Sus scrofa: one gene and its partners. The protein of the gene in region 2 interacts with the protein of the main gene of each other region in a biochemical or structural test. Links are inferred from orthologs where the notes say so. Each region holds a gene or a part of one and is shown on either strand. Other genes may lie near its edges.

The links. The genes of interacting proteins can lie anywhere in the genome.
Region 1: the proteins of SHC1 (region 2) and PTPN12 form a complex in vitro, tested with the Homo sapiens proteins (2 studies listed by BioGRID). The link is inferred for Sus scrofa from reciprocal best matches to the Homo sapiens genes SHC1 and PTPN12.
Region 3: the proteins of SHC1 (region 2) and FLT4 form a complex in vitro, tested with the Homo sapiens proteins (2 studies listed by BioGRID). The link is inferred for Sus scrofa from reciprocal best matches to the Homo sapiens genes SHC1 and FLT4.

The regions. Positions count from the first base shown.
Region 1 is NC_010451.4:102,490,746-102,494,262, forward strand, and holds part of PTPN12 (tyrosine-protein phosphatase non-receptor type 12), read right to left. Parts: exon of another isoform or gene 2,305-3,517; coding exon 1,322-2,304; intron 1-1,321. UniProt on the Homo sapiens protein: Dephosphorylates a range of proteins, and thereby regulates cellular signaling cascades. Dephosphorylates cellular tyrosine kinases, such as ERBB2 and PTK2B/PYK2, and thereby regulates signaling via ERBB2 and PTK2B/PYK2.
Region 2 is NC_010446.5:94,825,825-94,829,057, reverse strand, and holds part of SHC1 (SHC-transforming protein 1), read right to left. Parts: intron 3,066-3,233; coding exon 2,939-3,065; intron 1,394-2,938; coding exon 1,195-1,393; intron 1,106-1,194; coding exon 1,036-1,105; intron 957-1,035; coding exon 822-956; intron 369-821; coding exon 130-368; intron 1-129. UniProt on the Homo sapiens protein: Signaling adapter that couples activated growth factor receptors to signaling pathways. Participates in a signaling cascade initiated by activated KIT and KITLG/SCF.
Region 3 is NC_010444.4:78,110,491-78,114,007, reverse strand, and holds part of FLT4 (vascular endothelial growth factor receptor 3), read right to left. Parts: intron 2,862-3,517; coding exon 2,776-2,861; intron 815-2,775; coding exon 619-814; 3' UTR 1-618. UniProt on the Homo sapiens protein: Tyrosine-protein kinase that acts as a cell-surface receptor for VEGFC and VEGFD, and plays an essential role in adult lymphangiogenesis and in the development of the vascular network and the cardiovascular system during embryonic development.

The DNA of each region.
Region 1 (3,517 bases), on a different chromosome or scaffold from region 2:
CAAGGAAGAAAACAACATTAAATAACTTCATATTATGCCAAACTGGTAAAGAATTTTCTGAAGACCCTTCAAATAAAACAGTAGAATCAAGAGCACAGAGGAGAATCCTGTAAATTTAAGAAACTAGGTTAGACTCTCATTTACTCTATCACATATGTTCTTAAGATAAAAAAAATAAAGTACGTGTGAGCTGAAGAAACTAAAGAGGCCACAGTATGGATGGTACTGGGTCAGAAATGGAAAAAGTGATCTTTCAAATTTACAGTACTTATTTTGCATGCATATTATAAATAGCAGTCTGTATGTGTCACAACCAACGTTCACTGACAAGTAAAAGACCAATGATAATCAATCAGTAAGTAGCTTTCATGTTTATGTATTTGCTCAACTTTATGGTCTAAGATGGCGGCCATGATAATTTTTAGCAGACTAAAGAGTTTCAAGAACCAATAATATATCTTGGGAACTTGGGGCATGCATTATCTTGAAATGCTTAGACTACTTAAAGAAGAGAGTGATTAACTAAATATTAGTAGCACTGCTGATTAGATATGGAAATATCCCACTTACTACTGACTGAATTAAACCTCCCATATTCTGCTGAGTAGTTGCCATGTTGCTCCTTGGTTAAATTCAGAGTTGAAAGGAGTCTTATTTGTAAGCATTTGTGAAGAGAATTTTTAAAAGTTATTTTGTAGTTGGAAGATCATATAAAATATAACATACATGGGTAAAATTAAATGGCCAATCAAGCCATTTTACAGTATTAGTGTCATAGTCACTTTTTTTTTTTTGTCTTTTTGCCTTTTTTAGGGCCACACCTGCAGCATATGGAGGTTCCCAGGTTAGGGGTCTAATCAGAGCTGTAGCCACCAGCCTATACCACAGTTCATGGCAACGCCAGATCCTTAACCCTCTGAGCAAGGCCAGGGATCGAACCTGCAACTTCACGGTTCCTAGGTGGATTCATTAACCGCTGAGCCACCACGGGAACTCCTGTGTCATAGTCACTTTAAGTAATTCTGTCTTCCCTAAATAATTTCTAATTATTCAGTCATATAAATTTTTGACCCATATAAATACTAAGAGCTATAAGAGAGAATTTTCAGTTATGATAATTGAAATATTTTGAAAACACCAAAATTGATCTAGTAATGTAATGTGATCAAACTAAGGTAACAAAACTTACTTAAAAAATAGTATTGAAAATAATGACATCCTGCTGTAGGTTCTAGAGTAAGGTATGAAATAAAACATAACTTCTTAGAACAGTGACTGGCACATAGTAAAAATATTTGTGTTAGATACTATTAATTATTACCTTTTTCAGCACCTGAATGTATTGTTCCTGCTATATCATGTCTAGCAATGGACATTGGTAATACTTTCCTTGTAGAAATGTTTTCAGTACTAGCGGCAGCAGAAACTGTGGCACTTGCTGTTGAAACACTGGTTTTATTCTTGGTCACAGCACCATCAGAGTTCCTTTCATCTGAGTCCGAGTCATCAGAGTGAAGAGGATTAGTAAAACTGAGGGGTGCTCTGAATAGAGGGGAACTGTTTTGATGATCTGAGAGATCACGGGTTTCAACTTGTGTTGTAGGACTTGGCGTTAAACTCACAGTTTTCTTTGTTTGACAGTGGGTATCTGAGGATTTGCCTTCAGATGAATCAGGCATAGGTGGAGTATTTTCAGGTCCATGCAATGACCATGTTACACGTCCTTTCTCATCAAGAGGCAAGCGGTCTGGCCTTGGAGGTGTGTCTGAATTCTTCTGTAATTCTTCCGGTAAAATAACTGGAGCTTTATTCGACTGTGTTGCACTGCAGTCCACACAAGAATTCTGGGAAATATCATCAACTTTTAGATCCCTTGAACTCAATTCCTGTGACTTAGAGATTTTATCGGTAATACAAGGTGAAGCCGAAGCTGATTTAATTTTAATTGCATGTCCCCTATTCAAGAGTGTGTTCCCATCAAAGCTTTTTGGTCCCTCTTGGAGAGGGACCTTCTTAATCTCAAAACTTAAATTGCGCTCCAATTTTTTATCTATCTGTTCAACAGCTGATTCGTTTTTTGCTGTAAGTTCTGTTGATTTATTATAGTTTCTGTTGAGGTCTGTTGAATGTTGTTCTGATGAAACCATGTGCAACACTGGCTTTGGATGATATCTGTCATTGTCCTGCCACACAGTAGTGACTGTTGGAAAAGCTGAAGGGGGAGAAGGTGTCAAGATTGGTGGAACTGGGTGAGGTTCCGGAGGCTGCAGTATCTCCTCCTTAGCATCTCCTTCTACAAGGCAACTGAAAAACATTAAGAAAAGGGTACTGTGAGAATGTTCATCCTTTGGAGTTCCTGTTGTGGCTCAGTGGAAATGAATCCAAATAGGAACCATGAGGTTGAGGGTTCGATCCCTGGCCTCGCTCAGTGGGTTAAGGATCTGGCATTGCCGTGAGCTGTGGTGTAGGTTGCAGACGCAGCTTGGATCCTGCATTGCTGTGGTTATGGCATATGCTGGCAGCTACAGCTCCGATTGGCCCCCTAGCCTGGGAACCTCCATATGCCACAGGTGTGGCCCTAAAGAGCAAAAACAAACAAACAAACATCCTTAAAAAAAAAATAAGTTCATAAGTAACAGTTATGTAGCTGAGCCTCTTATATATTACAAGTCAGTAAAGTCTGTGGTTATGAATAAAAAATTAAAATTTGCCAAACTGGGAGTTCCCGTCGTGGCGCAGTGGTTAACGAATCCGACTAGGAACCATGAGGTTGCGGGTTCGATCCCTGCCCTTGTTCAGTGGGTTAATGATCCGGCGTTGCCATGAGCTGTGGTGTAGGTTGCAGATGTGGCTCAGATCCCACATTGCTGTGGCTCTGGGGTAGGCTGGCAGCTACAGCTCCGATTGGACCCCTAGCCTGGGAACCTCCATATGCTGCGGGAGCGGCCCAAGAAAAGGCAAAAAGACGAAAAGACAAAAAAAAAAAATTTGCCAAACTAAGAAAATTTAATGTTTAAAAAGGTAGTAATTTCATTGTTTACACTAATTTAAAATGTCAAATAATACAAGGATTCTTACTGAAAAAAACAGCAATTCCCTCCCACAGCCTTCCAGTTACCCTGAGACATCAAATTTCAACTTTTTAAAAAGAGCTGCTTCTAAGATTTACCTCCATATTTCAAAATGCATAAATTATTGTTACTTGATCTTTCCATTTCACACATACTGTAGCAACTTCTTACTATATAAATGTCTTCTCCATCTTCCCAATACTGTTACTATGGATAGGTTAATTTTTTTTTTTTTTTAATCACTATTTTAGGGCTGCACCAGTGGCAAATGGAGGCTCCCAGGCTAGGGCTTGAATTGGAGCTATAGCTGCTGGCCACAGCCACAGCCAGAGCAACATGGGATCTGAGCTGTGTTGGTGACCTACACCACAGCTCACAACAACTCCAGATCCTTAACCCACTGAACAAGGCCAGCTGGCCACAGCCACAGTCAGAGCAACGTGGGA
Region 2 (3,233 bases):
ACCTGAGAGGCCCAGACAGAGGTGCCCGTCGGGCCAAGTCTAGGAAGCAGTGAGGGCAAGAACAGGGCTGCCCGGGAGGGTGCTGCACCGTCCTTCCTGCCACGCCACCCATGCCTCTGCCACACTCACCACACCCTCAGGGTCCACCAGGAGCAGGTGCTTGGGCTGCCCACTCTGCAAGCCGGTCAGCACGTACTGGCCAGGTGTGGTCGTGCTTTCCCGCACCAGGAAGTCCCCGTTGAGCTGCAGCAGTGCCTCGGCCTCGCGCCGGCTCAGCTTCCCGTGGAACCAGGGCTCCCCTCGGAGCTGCTCGGCCATGGCCACCGACTGGGGAGGTGGAGGCACCCGAAGGGCATCTTCGAAGGGCTCTGGGGGTGCAGAGAGAGGGCTAGGAGGGGGGCTGGCACGACACATGCCCAGGGCCCAGACCTTCAGGGAGGGGAAGCCAGGAAGGAAAGAGCAGATAAGCAGGAAAAGAAGAGGAACCCAGGAATTCCCGTCATGGCTCAGTGGTTAACGAATCCGACTAGGAACCATGAGGTTGCGGGTTCGATCCCTGGCCTTGCTCAGTGGGTTAAGGATCTGGCATTGCCGTCAGCTGTGGTATACGTTACAGACGCGGCTTGGATCTGGTGTTGTAGCTCTGGCGTAGGCTGGCAGCTACAGCTCCGATTCCACCCCTAGCCTGGGAACCTCCATATGCCATAGGAGTGGCCCAAGAAATGGCAAAAAGACAAAAAAAAAAAAAAAAAAAAAAAAAAAAAGAAGAAGAGGAACCCAGCGGGAAGAGGCAGGTGCAGGAAAGACAGAGGCGCACTTACTCATGTCAAAGAGGTCTCGGGGTGCACTGCCATTGATAGTAGGATTGGGGGGCCCGGCCCCGGCCCCTGCTTGCCGGGCCTTGTCTAGGTTCTGGACGTTGACATAAGAGGGATCATCAAAGAGCTCTCTGCCTGCTGAAGAAAGGGAGGCTTTACAGCGACCCCCGCCCTGCTTCGCACACCCCGGCTCTGCCCCTCTCAGCCCCCTTCCTACCTGGGCAGGGTGGAGGCGGCAGCATCTGTTTGCGGGCTTCTGGGTCGCCCCCAGGAGGCTGCCCCACAGGCTGAAGGGACAAAAAATCAGGTGAGGCCAGAGGCCCTAACCAGCCACTCCCGTCCTGGGCCCAGCCCACTTCCCCCCCAAGCAACTCACCAGTGTGGCTCCCAGGTGGCTGGGGGTCTGGGCGCTGGGGGGAGTGGGTCGAGCAGCCCCTGGGGGCACTCCTTCCCGAAGCCTCATGTCCACTACCCCCCCAAGAGGGGGCTCCTTCCCCGGAAAGTCATTATAGTACTGATGGTCAGGCGGCTCTTCCTCCTCCTCATCCCAAGCTGAGCCATCGAAGCCAGCCATCCTGGGAGGGACAGGAAGGAGAGAGGCACGTGGGAGGGAGGACGGAGGGAGAAGAGAACAGCGGCCATGGACTGCGCAATCCCTGAGGGGCAGGCTTGACGTGGGGTGTTTTATATATGGAATCATGTCCTCCTCCTGGCAACCCTAGAAGGTAGGTTTCATTTCCTTCTCCGATTTTGTAGATGAGGAAAATGAGGGAGGGTCGGGGGTGAAAAGATTTACCCTGGTCTCCCAACTAAAAATTGGTGAAGGGAGTTCCTGTCGTGGTGCAGTGGAAACGAACCCGACTAGGAACCATGAGGTTGCCGGTTCGACCCCTGGCCTCGCTTAGTCGGTTAAGGATCCGGTGTTGCCGTGAGCTGTGGTATAGGTCACAGACGAGGCTCGGATCCTGCGATGCTGTGGCTGTGGCCGTAGGCTGGCAGCAACAGCTCCAATGAGACCCCTAGCCTGGGAACCTCCATCTGCCATGGGTGTGGCCCTAAAACAAACAAACAAACAAAAAAAAAGTGGTGAAGGAGTTCCTGTCGTGGCTCAGTGGGAACGAACCCGACTAGTATCCATGAGGATGCAGGTTTGATCCCTGCCCTCGATCAGCGGGCTAAGGATCCAGTGTTGCTGTGGTTGTGGCGCAGGCCGGCAGCTACAGCTCTGATGCTACCCCTAGCCTGGGAACCTCCATATGCCACAGGTGTGGCCCTCAAAAGACTAAATAAATAAATAATTTAAAAAATTAAAAAATAAAATAAAAAGTGGTGAATCTGAGAGACATAAGTTCAAATTTGACTTTAGAGGCATGCCCTCGATCGTTATGCTGTCTCCCAAGAGGGAGGGGAAGCAGCACCACTATTTGGGGTGCTCCACCTACAGCATATGGAGGTTCCCAAGCTAGGGGTCAAATTGCACCTGGAGCTGCCGGTCTACACCACAGCCATAGCAATGCCAGATCCAAGCCATGACCTACCCCGCAGCTCACGGCAACGCCGGATCCTTAACCCAGAGACAGAGGCCAGGGACTGAACCTGAATCCTCATGGATACTAGTCGGGTTTGTTACCGCTGAGCCACAACAGAATCTCCCTCTGGAATATTTTAACCTCCCCTAAATTCTCAACACTGCTGGTCTGAAGTGGGAGAGGTAAGGATCTCAGGAAAGAGCCATGCTCCCTCGCCCAAATTCTTGATGGCTTCTAGGGGCAAGAAGGCACTAAATATGGAGAAATGGGCAAGAGAGAGGGACAGGCCAGAAAGAGATGGCTGGGACTAGGAAAGCCCATCCAGCCAGGAAGAGCTGGAGCGGGCGGCCCTGGACTACAGCTCCAGCACGGGCACCCGAGAGGAAGAGCTGGCCTGGCAGCAGGCAGGGCCTCGAAAGGCCTTCCCCATGGCCTCAGGAAACGTAAGAATAGCAGGAAGTGGGAAGCAGGGGCTCACAGGTTATTTCCTTCCCTGCTCCTCTCTGAGCTCAAGCGTGGGAAGAGCAGACCTACTTTTCCAATTCCGGTCCCAGCCCGAGAGCTGCCCCCCCCCACCGCTCGCCTGCTCACCTGTCATGAGGGGTGACCAGCTTGGGCGGGTTCCTGAGGTATTGTTTGAAGCGCAACTCAAAGGCCTGGCCAATGGTGCTGATGACGTCCTGAGCAAGCCCTTCGGGACACTCCAGGATGTGGCAGGCTGGGGGCACAGCAGAGGCTGTCAGGGAACTCGGGGGGAAGGCGGGGGGCACGCACAGACGGGGCCCTCGCCCTCATTCTCCGCAGCAGGAGCCCCTGCTGAGCTCCCGGGTCCTGCTCACCTGTCTCTCTGACAGCCGGCCCCACCCAGCGCTCCCCACCACGCCTC
Region 3 (3,517 bases), on a different chromosome or scaffold from region 2:
GCACTGCAGAGACGCCTGCTCTGGGCTCTGGCCAGGTTCAGGAGAGGACCTCCCCTTCTTGCCCCACACAAATTCCTCATTCATTACTTTGAGCTGGAAATACAAGTGCCCTCTCTTCAGCCCTGGAGAAGCGAGTGAAGAAAGCTGATCCCAAGGGAAGGGAGGGCTGCGTGGAGGGGGCTGAATTTGGGGTGGAGGCTGGGAGACACAGTTCAACCTCCATCACCATACGACCCTCAGACCCTTGTATTTCTCATAAGAAATTAGGGATCACACCACCCATCATGGTGGGAGGAGGCATCCAAAGAGACTGCCTAGGAGCGTGACCAGCTCAGGGTCAGCCCCTGTGGACTTTGAGCTAAGTGGAGTCGGAATCTGAAGGGGAGAAGGGCCCCAGGGGTCTGCAGGGTGGCCTGGGCAGGCATGGTGATGGAGTGCAGGGCAGCCCTGGTGCCTAGATTTTGCTCTTCCCAGCTAAGGAGGAGGAAATGCCTCCTGGCTCGAACTAAAGAAGATGAGTTCCCAGCCTGGGCCTCTGGCCCTCTGCTCCCTTGCCAGGCATGGCCCCCACCGACTGTCAAGAGCCCAGGGTCCAGGGGGGCCTTGCCCAGAGCTGATTTAGTAGCTGTTGTCTGTGAAGAAGGGCACATGGGTGGATGGGGTGCTGTCGCCCTCCTCTTGTGGCCCTGCCAGCTCCCCGTACTCGCTGTTGTAGAACACCTGACCCCGGGCTCCCCGGTCTGGCCGCCGCCACCGCCCTTGGGGGTCAGGGTGCACTGCAGTCACATCCGCATTCCTGCCAGGTCCTTTACAGCTGCCAAGACAAGGAAGGTGGTGTCAGTAAGAAAAGAAGAGAGCTTGGAGCTGGGTCAGGGTTTGATCCGTATCACGAAGGACACAACCAGAGCCTCGAGTGGGCGCAAAGCCAATGGGAACACATACAGACTTGACTTAAACAGAAAAACAAACCCATGTGACTATTGGCAAACACCAGAGCTTTCTCTGTCCCAAGCCTGGGCGTGGGACAATGGAGAAGCCCAACTTCATCCCACTAAACCTACTTCTCTTCCAGTCTTGGCACGAAGCGCATCAACATGGTTCAATGGCTTAAGTGCCTGGGTGTCATCCTTTCTTCCCTTTCCCGCATCCCTCATATCCAGCCCATCCAGGAGTCCTGTCCTTTCTACTCTGCAATACATCCCGGCACTTCTCTCCATGCTTTGCCCCTGCCTTAGAGTGAGAGGCCCATCACTGCACATTCCTCACGGCTCTAGCTCATCTTCCTTCTCCCACTCATGCCTCCCTGTAGGCCAGTCTTCAGAGAACCTTCAAGTTTGACGATGTCCTTAGTCCCCTGGCTGACTTTCCAATGGGTTCCAGTCACTCTCAGAATAAAACCTGGAGTTCCCTTTGTGGCACAGTGGAAATAAATCCAACTAGGGAACATGTGGTTGTGGGTTCAATCCCTGGCCTCGCTATGTGGGTTAAGGATCCGGGCGTTACGATTCGACCCCTAGCCTGGGAAACTCCATGTGCCGTGGGTGCAGCCCTAAAAAGACAAAAACAAACAAACAAACAGAAAGAAGCATTAGCCAGAAACAATTTCTGCCAATGCAATTAGCATTCATTTTCCAAAACTAGTTTACTATTAGAGATCACCCAATAGAATCAATAAAAACACAACTGGAGGCCAAGATGCATGATATGTATGTGGTAACTGTCCCCAGGCATATGACCCCACAACCACCTGTGTTCACGTGCTGCAAACATGCCCTTCACAGCCTGCTGGGAAAATAACAGATAGTTGGTTTAAGGTGCAGAGGTCTTCAATCCCCTCACCCGAAAGGTAAAAAATGACATCAACTATCCTAACATGATACCAAGTCACACCTGTGGTCTAGGGCGCACTATTCAGTGACATCTTCACATACCAATTCCCAAACAACCCATGCAGAAGTCAAGATTTGCTCTGGAGAAACTATGTCAAAGGCACAGGTATCAAAGGTGGAGCTGAATGATCTGAACACGTGTCTTAAGAAAGTGGAAAAGCATTTTATATGATAGTGTAGGTCCTGTCATGTAAACAGCTATGAGCCAGTCAACTGATCAAATGAATGAGTAGACTTTTAACTATTTTATATATACCCTTCAAAGTTTAAATATTCAGAAATATTCAGATTTTGTGTTCTTGTGGGGTTGGTTTTTTTTTTTTGGTTTTTTTTTTTTTGGTTTTTTGGGTTTTTGGGTTTTGTCTGTTTTGTTAAGAGGAGGAAGCTATCTTCTTGGGCAAATAGAGCTCACTATCTATTCAGGTCGCCCTCTGTGCAGGTGCACAGGAGGATTTCTCTGGAACCACATTCCTATCAAAGTAGGGTGCAAGTCAGCTCTGGGTCACGTGATCTGCTGGCTCCTGTGGCCACCAGGCTAAGGGCTGGGGATCAGGGATGGTGCTGGGCTCCCCTGGCTGGGAGAGGGGTGGTAGGTGCCATTGGCATACTGCATCATTCTTGGTTTCACAAAGAGACGTCTTCTGAGCAACTGTCAAATGGAAGAGAGGGTTGGGAACCAGCCCCAGGTGCACTGGGTCAGGACGGTGATGGGGGAGGGAGGTCCTCTGGGGAGGCTGGTGGACTAAGGCCTCAAGTCTCAGGGCCTTGGACGCACAAAAAGGCAACACGGAACTGTGTAAGTGTCAAGTAAGAGAGCGACAGGTACATGCCAGCCTGGCCTCCTTCCCCTGGTCTCTGGCAGGGGAGGAGGCTCCAGACGCCTTACCTGAGCTTGCCTTCTTGTCTGTGTCTGTTCTCCAGCCGCTCAAACTCCTCAGAGGCCAGCACCATCCCACTGTCCGTCTGGTTATCCTGTGCAGAGAGAATAAGCCAAGGCTGTGGGATCCACTGAGGCATAAACCTTCATCGCACCCGACCTAACACTCATCCAGTGGGAAGTGTGGGGGAAATGGGTGTCCACTTGCTCACCAGAGCCTGCAGGTAAGGGTCACACGCCCTCACCTTGGAAGGAGAAACTGAGGCTTGCAGGGGCTGTGTATTGCTACTCAGGAGGGCAGCAAAACTGGGAGGACCCCCACCCCCACCCCTGTAGGGGGACATATAAGGCAGCCATGCAAACGGCACAGGCAGAGCAGGAGCACCAGGAGAAACAAGGAAAGTATCAAAAGAACCTGGCAGCTCACAGTATAGAAAAATGATCCTCAGACTCATGTAGTGGGGCTCTGGCACCCTTAGTGTGCATGGCATGGTTTTCATTTTGATTTACATGGAAGGGAACGGCACTCTTGTCAGAGCTGCCCCCGACTCCCCAACGCCTCCATCAGGCCCTGGGGACATGAGACAGGTCCACACAGCTCTGGTCCAGGGCTCTCACTGTGGCCCCTGCCAGCCAGGTGCTCCAGGTCCGGCTGCCCGGCTCTCTGGCGGGAGTCAGATGTCAGGAAGTCCTAAGGCCAGCAGCACTGACCAGCCCCATCTAGGGAGCCTGGGAGGCTGCCTGTGCTTTT